Linked DNA regions of Daphnia pulex. Each later gene encodes a partner of the first gene's protein in a complex. Links are inferred from orthologs where the notes say so. Each region holds a gene or a part of one and is shown on either strand. Other genes may lie near its edges.

The links.
Region 2: the proteins of N-alpha-acetyltransferase 25, NatB auxiliary subunit-like (region 1) and N-alpha-acetyltransferase 20-like are in contact, whole or in part, in a cryo-EM structure (PDB 7STX), measured with the Homo sapiens proteins. The link is inferred for Daphnia pulex from reciprocal best matches to the Homo sapiens genes NAA25 and NAA20. Residues at the interface, in NP_079229.2 of Homo sapiens: Ser226, Glu227, Ile228, Asn259, Asp261, Asp262, Trp263, Gln264, Arg318, Arg321, Leu325, Lys362, Pro363, Cys364, Thr367, Asp368, Val371, Leu457, Thr459, Glu460, Leu461, Ser504, Ala506, Leu510, Leu532, Asp533, Lys535, His536, Ile537, Gln538; in NP_057184.1 of Homo sapiens: Thr2, Thr3, Leu4, Arg5, Thr8, Cys9, Asp10, Leu12, Phe13, Phe15, Asn16, Asn19, Leu20, Pro22, Leu23, Thr26, Tyr27, Gly28, Ile29, Pro30, Leu33, Gln34, Leu36, Ala37, His38, Pro40, Glu41, Pro49, Glu52, Met54.

What each region holds. Positions count from the first base shown.
Region 1 is NC_060028.1:8,233,492-8,238,011, reverse strand, and holds the start of N-alpha-acetyltransferase 25, NatB auxiliary subunit-like, read left to right. Parts: upstream 1-1,562; 5' UTR 1,563-1,627; coding exon 1,628-1,703; intron 1,704-1,860; coding exon 1,861-1,946; intron 1,947-2,021; coding exon 2,022-2,160; intron 2,161-2,224; coding exon 2,225-2,418; intron 2,419-2,486; coding exon 2,487-2,624; intron 2,625-2,699; coding exon 2,700-3,072; intron 3,073-3,138; coding exon 3,139-3,314; intron 3,315-3,380; coding exon 3,381-3,544; intron 3,545-3,619; coding exon 3,620-3,786; intron 3,787-3,852; coding exon 3,853-4,022; intron 4,023-4,091; coding exon 4,092-4,369; intron 4,370-4,435; coding exon 4,436-4,520. UniProt on the Homo sapiens protein: Non-catalytic subunit of the NatB complex which catalyzes acetylation of the N-terminal methionine residues of peptides beginning with Met-Asp, Met-Glu, Met-Asn and Met-Gln. May play a role in normal cell-cycle progression.
Region 2 is NC_060019.1:120,226-123,332, forward strand, and holds N-alpha-acetyltransferase 20-like, read left to right. Parts: upstream 1-1,191; 5' UTR 1,192-1,394; coding exon 1,395-1,447; intron 1,448-1,530; coding exon 1,531-1,555; intron 1,556-1,634; coding exon 1,635-1,725; intron 1,726-1,793; coding exon 1,794-1,923; intron 1,924-1,988; coding exon 1,989-2,125; intron 2,126-2,185; coding exon 2,186-2,271; 3' UTR 2,272-2,295; downstream 2,296-3,107. Other genes in the region: BTB/POZ domain-containing protein 7-like, read right to left, coding at 1-331, 429-577; nascent polypeptide-associated complex subunit alpha, muscle-specific form-like, read right to left, coding at 2,425-2,649, 2,707-3,107. UniProt on the Homo sapiens protein: Catalytic subunit of the NatB complex which catalyzes acetylation of the N-terminal methionine residues of peptides beginning with Met-Asp, Met-Glu, Met-Asn and Met-Gln. Proteins with cell cycle functions are overrepresented in the pool of NatB substrates.

The DNA.
Region 1 (4,520 bases):
GACAAATATTTGTCCCGCGCTGTCCGTTCATGTCAAATTGTCAACGTAAAAAAGATCAAATGAAACCCTCCCTCGGAGACCATAAGGAAAGCCCCTGCGAATCAAAACAACAAGCCATAGAAATATGGGTGGGTCCAGCCAGTTGTGCAATATTCATATATGATCGCTGCTGCCCACCAACCAACGAAAATGGTGGTGCAGTTCTTGTGCGGGATACATGTACTAGTGTGTGGTGGCATTGTGTTGGACTTATCCGTTTGGAAATCGATCCGTGCCGTTGTTTTCGTGACGACGGTGACAATCGAAATGATACAGCGGCCCAATCGTCAATCCTGCAGCTGACAGCCAACCCGGACAGACCCTTGTACACACAGGCGATATAGACTGTGGGCGACGGCGTGCTATATAGTCGGTCGACGAATGAGACGAGTCGGGACCAGAGTCTCTTTGGCCCCAATCGATCGATGTGCGCCATGCACATGGAACTGAGAAGAAAATCCATACACACACTACTATACACACACAGTCTCTATCCTCTTGATGGCCCTTGAGCTCCTAGTGCAGAGGCTCCTATATAGCTCCTATATAGTCTGATCCCTACCTCCTTCCGGATCCCGCTCGTCCTCATTCACGAGAGAGATTGCCACGTCACGCGTCACAGATTCCCCCAAACACACACAAATAATACGATATCCAAATATCAATAGAATGTTATTATTATTTATTTATTTATTTAGTTTTTCATCGCGTGTGACGTCGCTGTCATATTGAAAGCGCCTGCGCCAATCGCATCAAAATGTCGCCACATCTTTCACGACGCCGGCCAATGATAGAGGGGCGGCGACCAAATAGAACGACGACGTCAGTAGCAGTAGAAAATAAATCAATTCTCTAGCTCTTTTTTGTTTCGCTATAAAAGGCCTTCTCCACGTCTGTGTACAACATCGCTATTTCTATACCGTCGTCATATCTAATATCTACATATATATACTAAAGGAAGCCGAATGACCGATCGATATCGGCTTCTCTTTTGTTTAGGCAATTCGAAATGAGATACACATAGACATATGGAGATGTGTGTGTGTATAGAGAGTCTACAGCAGCACTTGAAAGTTAATAAGAAACTAGTTCACTTTGTTATTGCTACTTCTATTGTTCAACTTTTCCCTTGATACTTAATATATTCACGAAGAAATAAGAGCTAGCTCCATTTTCATCACGGCGCTTTGTTGACGTAACACATTTCAGGTGGCAGAGAAACGTCTGACGTCAAAGACTTTGATTCATTTTCTCCCCAAAAAAGAAAAATAAATAATCAGACTAATCAAACTTTGATGTTGGAAACTGCTCTTGTCGTCACAGCCATTGAGAAATAAAAAGGACCATGTGTTTTTCTTTATACAAGGACGAATGGCTACACTTTATCGATTTCTCCAACGGTATTGCATGAAAAGAGAATCTTCTTCTTTGGCCCGACTCTACAACTATTTCCTATATAGATGCAATGCAATTTAGGATATTACCGATCAAATTTGGCGCGTTTCCTGAAACGTTGCGCGGAACACTAGTCCGCGCCATCTGCACAAGGCCCCACAGAGTTTCTTTAATTTATTTTTTCCCAAAAGACATGGTCTCGAAGATGGCTACAAAAATGAAGCCGGTTGATAATTCAGTCAACGAGAGACGTTTGCGGCCAATTTACGGTAAATGATTGTACGGAAAATTCATCCCCCAAATATAAACCTCACCCGTGACCAAAAAATAAATATCATTATGTTTCGGGGGTTCACCCCACCACACACGATTTGCTCCGAGTTAATTTGTTCTCTTCACCTGTCTTGATTTCCATAATCATAACAGATTGGCTGGATAATGGAAACAACAAGAAGGCTCTGCAGGAGGCGGAAAAGGTCTTGAAGAAGCAGCCAAACCTACAATGTGCCAGGGTACGCTGCTTGTTGTAAACATTGGCTCTCAAGTGAGGAAAGTGTCAAAATGTGAGAGATATTTTGTTTGTTTAGGTTCTCAAGGCCCTGGCCATGGTGAGGCTAGGGAAATCAGAGGAGGCCCAGACCATCTTGCAGGAGGTGCAATTGGAGGAGCCTTGCGAAGATGCCACACTTCAAGCCATGGCCATTTGCTATCGGGAAACTCACAGACGTAAAAGCAAAGTTCTTACACTTGGATAACTTCTTTTTAAATAATGTGATCTTCTTTTACACAGCTGAACTGACGTGCCAGATTTATGAAGCGGCAGTCAGGAAAGACCCTTTGAACGAGGAATTTCTGTCCCATCTCTTCATGGGCTATGTTCGCATTGGTGACTACCGAAAGCAGCAGCTGACAGCCATGGCCCTCTTCAAAGTCAAGCCCAAAAACCCATACTATTTTTGGGCTGTCATGAGTATCCTTATGCAAGTAAAGTTCACCTTTAAGAAAAACTTGCCTTGGAATGTTGATGTTGATTTTTTTTCCCGCTTTCGTAGGCCTACGTCAACGACGATACCGTATGCCTTACGATAACGTTGCCGTTGGCCGAAAGAATGATCAAAAAGTTTGTGGAAGAGAAGAAGATTGAAGCAGAAGCTGAAGTGCAATTGTACTTGATGGTTCTGGAGAAACAGGTATATTCATCGAGAGTATACAATATTGTTTTTTTGTTATTGCATCCATAACCAAGGGCCAATATCTATCAACAGAAAAAATACCAGGAGGCCTTACAAGTGCTGCAAGGATCGCTATCGGAAAAGCTGGCGAATGGCATGATTGAAAACAAAAAGGGCGAATATCTTAGGCAAATGAAACGCTGGGATCAGATGTTGGATTACACCGAGGAACTTTTGCGTTCAAACCCGGACCAGTGGAGCTATTACAGCCTTTACATGGAAGCCTTGTTTGAGTTGACCAGCACTACCAACGCCGATGTGATTGGCCGAGCGAAAACCTTCCTCCTCTCTTTGATGGAGCAAGAAAGACTCAAGTCAGAAAACAAGTTGCGGGGCCCTTATTTGGCGATGCTCTTTTTCTGGCAGCAACTCCAACAACGAAACTTTGACGCTTCCACCGTTTTCGGTAATCTTAATTTGCCATCGCAAGTTGCCTCCTTGGTCCAATTGTAACTTTGCCGTTGTTGTTTAGGCAATTTCAGGGAATTTGCCCAAGAATACGTGGAAGTAATGGGAGACAAACCTTGCGCTTTCCAAGATCTTCGGCCGTTCGTCAGCAGTTTGCCGGCCGAACAGGTGAACGAATTTCTTGGTTGTGTTACCCAATCCGTTGGCTTGGATCAATCAAGTTCCCAATCTCCTACTACGGTAATATTTTATATCTAGGTCCAAGGCCTAGGAGCCAACTAAAAGTTTCTCTTTTTTCTTTTTAAGGTGAAGCAAATATGCCGGCACTTGTTGCACATCCAGTTGAATAGGTTCCTCGGTCAACATGATCTGTTGAATAAAGAAGAAAAAATTGAGCTCTCTCAGAAATTGTGGGGCCATTATTTGCAAACGAAATCTCTGAATGCTGGTCTGTTGGCAACGGATTTTAGGTATCCAGTCTATGCTGTTCTTTTTTAATTTATTCACAGATGACCAAGCAATGCTTTTCTTTTTGAATGGGATAGACCGAACGATGGCTATGCCTTGTTGGCTGCCCACCTTTTGTTAGATACGTGGAATAACGATCCCGTTGTTCTCGACAAGTGCCTGTTATTGCTGGAAACGGCCCTAGCCAACAGTCCAGCTAATTACCACCTAAAGTTGCTCGTCACCAGAGTATATACACTAGCTGGTAACAAATAAATTAGTAACAGTACAGATCAATTTAATAGTTATTTCGCCCCCCATTTTTCAATAGGTCACGGCCGTGCAGCCTTCCAGCGTTACGAATCGTTGGATGTTAAATACATTCAATTGGATTCGCTTGGCCATTTGCTCTGCCGTCCACTGATTTCGATGGGATTGCCGTACACAGCTTCGCCACTACTCTCCAACACGTTACGTTTTTACACCACGCACGCAAGAGAAGTACTCTATTCATTCGCAATGTTTCAGGAATCTTCTCATCTGATTTGGTTTTAATCATTTCTTCAACAGACATCCGAGTGTTTAATTTCGGCCTATAAATTTGGCTCTTTCGGGAAGATTCCCGAGTTTACTCAATTCTGCCAACGGCTGGATAGCTCTGCTCACTTTGCCTCGTCCACGACCGAGCGCATGCTGCTGGATCTGCTTCTGGACGGCAACTCCCATACGAAATTAGTTCAATCTGCGGCAGGTATGTTTGCCGATCCCGACAAAGATCAGCCAGATTGGAAAACGTGTGTCGATAATCGTGACTGCGGCGTCTTTGTATCTTGGGATCCACCTGCCAAGTAACGAAAACCAATCAATTCTATTTTTAAAAAAAGGATCACATTTATCTTACTCTGTTGTGTTAGGAATTCTCGCGAAGATATGGTCAAGACAACATTTAAAGATGAGGTGAAATTTGCGCAACTGCGAAATCGACTCGTCCACTCACTC
Region 2 (3,107 bases), on another chromosome or scaffold:
ACATCGTGAACTGAGAATGGCTCGATGGACTGGGAAACAGGCGCCCTGGAAAATGAGCGTCACATCGCTGGCGTATTTGTAGTCGAACAAGTCCGACAAGTCTTGTTTGTGCGTTGAGGCCGGTGGACGGGCCAAATCGGCTTGGACGGACAAATCCTTGAGCGCTGCCGTCGCTTCGTACTCTTCCACCAGCGTGTTGAGTTCCAATGGGCTCCAATCGGACACGAATTCACGTATCACTTTGCCGTGATCGTACGATTTCGATGTCCTACGTCGACGTATCAATTTGCGACGTAACGTGGCGAACCCAGTCATCTTTTTCTTCTTTTCTCTGCATTAAAATTGTACAATGTAGTTATTTGTATTAAAACGACCAACTAAAACTAACTGGGAACCAGTAGAAAAACCAATCACAAATCGAAAAATACCTGACGGATACTCCAACAAGCTGATCGCCAGAGTGCATTGATGAGAATGTTTTGGATGAGTCTGAATTCCTGGCAGATCGGTGGCAAGGAGTTGTGCCAGTAGATGTAACGCATTTTCCATCATGAAAACCCGATGCACTGGCTCCCATTTTCTTATCCAAAACAAAAAATAGACGTGAACTTTTCTTCGCTGCTGAGACTCTGGACGTTTCCCTCTGACCACTTCTTTTGATTATATGGCTGGTCAGTTGAATGTGTTTTTCAATCGATTTTGACACATTGGCCCGTTTGGTTGGCGAAAATTGCACATGCAAATCTTGAACGTCTTTTCTTGGAGAATCAACTCAACGAGATTTCTGATCGTCCGACATTTCTCACTTGTTGTAATTCAATTTCACTCTGCGACAATTTACAAGCAACACTGCCACCATCTTGTTTCAACTATTAAGTCTAAAACAGGCTCGCCGACTGCCCTCCACTACAGTTCAAAGCGAGTCTACACTATTGGCTATCTTTTACTAAATCAAGGGAAATGGAAAGTGGAAACGAGAATTCAACATGAAGAAAACTCCCAAATAATTCACAATTTATGATTTTTTAAACTTATTAAGAATTTCGACAAGCTTTTCTCGTTGATATTTCATTTTTGGGATAATCAAGTGTTGTCACAAATTATTTTCCGCGAGTTTTACTGTGGTGGAATCTTTCCGTAATTTAGTTTTCTGCTTTCCATTTTCTTTCAATTAGCAATGGCTTTCAGTGGCGAGCGACTCTTAGCAGTCCAGACGGCGCCTTTTACTTAATGACAGTAGACTCCCCTCTCTTCTTCTTGTTCCCATAAGGCAACGAATTCCTCTCAATTATATGGTTTACGACCTCTAGGGCGAATTCTCCTTCTGGCGAAAGAAGTATATATAAATAATTGTTCTTTGGGGTTTTTTTCTTTAAAACCCACTTCACTTAAAAATGACGACACTAAGGCCGTTCACCTGTGATGATATGTTTCGTTTTAATTTCGTGTAAGTCCCTATCAAAAAGTTTTGTAAACAAACTTATTTTTTAAATTATTAATTCGGCTTTCATTTTTATGGTCACCGTTTAGAAATCTAGATCCTCTGACCGAAACGGTAATATCTCTTGCATAAATCATGGCCAACAGCTACGAGACTAATAATGCATATTTTTTCCAACAACTTTTCCATGTAGTACGGGCTCACTTTCTACCTGCAATACATGGCTCATTGGCCGGAATACTTTCAACTGACTGAAGCACCTGGTGGAGAAATCATGGGATACAGTAAATTGATATTCACGTCCAAGTGAAAGCCTCTCAATTAATCAAGACTTTTCTCTACATCCGGACAGTTATGGGTAAAGCAGAAGGGCACGCCACCAACTGGCACGGCCATGTTACCGCTTTGAGTGTAGCACCAGACTACAGAAGGCTGGGGCTGGCTGCAAAACTTATGTTTGGATTAGAAGAAATTTCTGAAAAGTAAGCCTGATACTACCGAATGCTATCACTGTAGGATGAATTGAAACTAAATGTCATTTACTCAGGAAACAAGCCTATTTTGTTGACCTGTTTGTCAGGGTGTCTAACACTGTGGCCATCAACATGTACAAAAATTTAGGTTACATCATATATAGAACTGTGTTGGAATATTATTCTGGCTCACCTGATGAAGATGCCTATGGTGAGCCCTGCATTTTATTTTAAATCAGAATTTTAAACTTAATTCTTTTTCCCACCTTAGACATGAGAAAATCTTTATCAAGAGATGTGGATAAATTATCAGTAGTGCCTCTAACTCATCCAGTCAGACCAGAAGATATTGAATAAAAATACATGGTCATATTCTTTCAATTATTTGAAAACTTGGTTTATTAGAATAGGAAAGGAAAAAATGGCTTTACTTGAGGGGCAAAAAAAAAGAAAAATAAAACAAAAGGAAATATTTGGAACGTTCTATGGAAACGAAAGACATTTTTTAAATTAACTTGACAAATTAAACTTTTCGATATCTTCAAAGTGCGAGTTCATCACTTTGCACCATTGCTCCTCTTCCTTGTCGCGTTTGTTCTTCTTTTGTCCAGTTCGCTTCTTCAACTTTTTGGGGGTTTCATCGACATCCCCGAAATCATCGAAATCTTCGGTTTCCAAGAGTATTTTTCGTTTGGCTATCCGCAAGTCACGTTTCGAGTAGGACTTCCTAGCAGGCTACAAAATAATTATTAATAATTTTTACTTGAATAAGGTGAGAACTCAATTTCTTACCTCGTCGAAAACTGTGGGCGGTGTAGGAGGGACAACAACTTTCTTTGGAACGGCATTTTCTTCGTTCACGTGATTCTCACCCACTACTTGAATGTACTGCACCAATTTGGTCGACTTTGGTTTGACTGGCTCGAGAGGTCGGATACCACGAATCAAATCACGCGCCACATTTTCATCGATGCGGGCTGGACGATTGATGGACTTTCGTATAGCCTTGGAGAGTTTACGAACGGGCGAAACAGACGAGAAGCAATCGGCAACTGTTTCTTGTCTAATGGGTGTAGATTTGACGAGTTTACTTTCAATTACTTTAGTGGTCGGCTCATTTTCAGGCTCTTGTTCAAATCCAAACAATTTTTCCATTTCCATTTCAACTTGAGAATCACGAGTCATATCGGAAG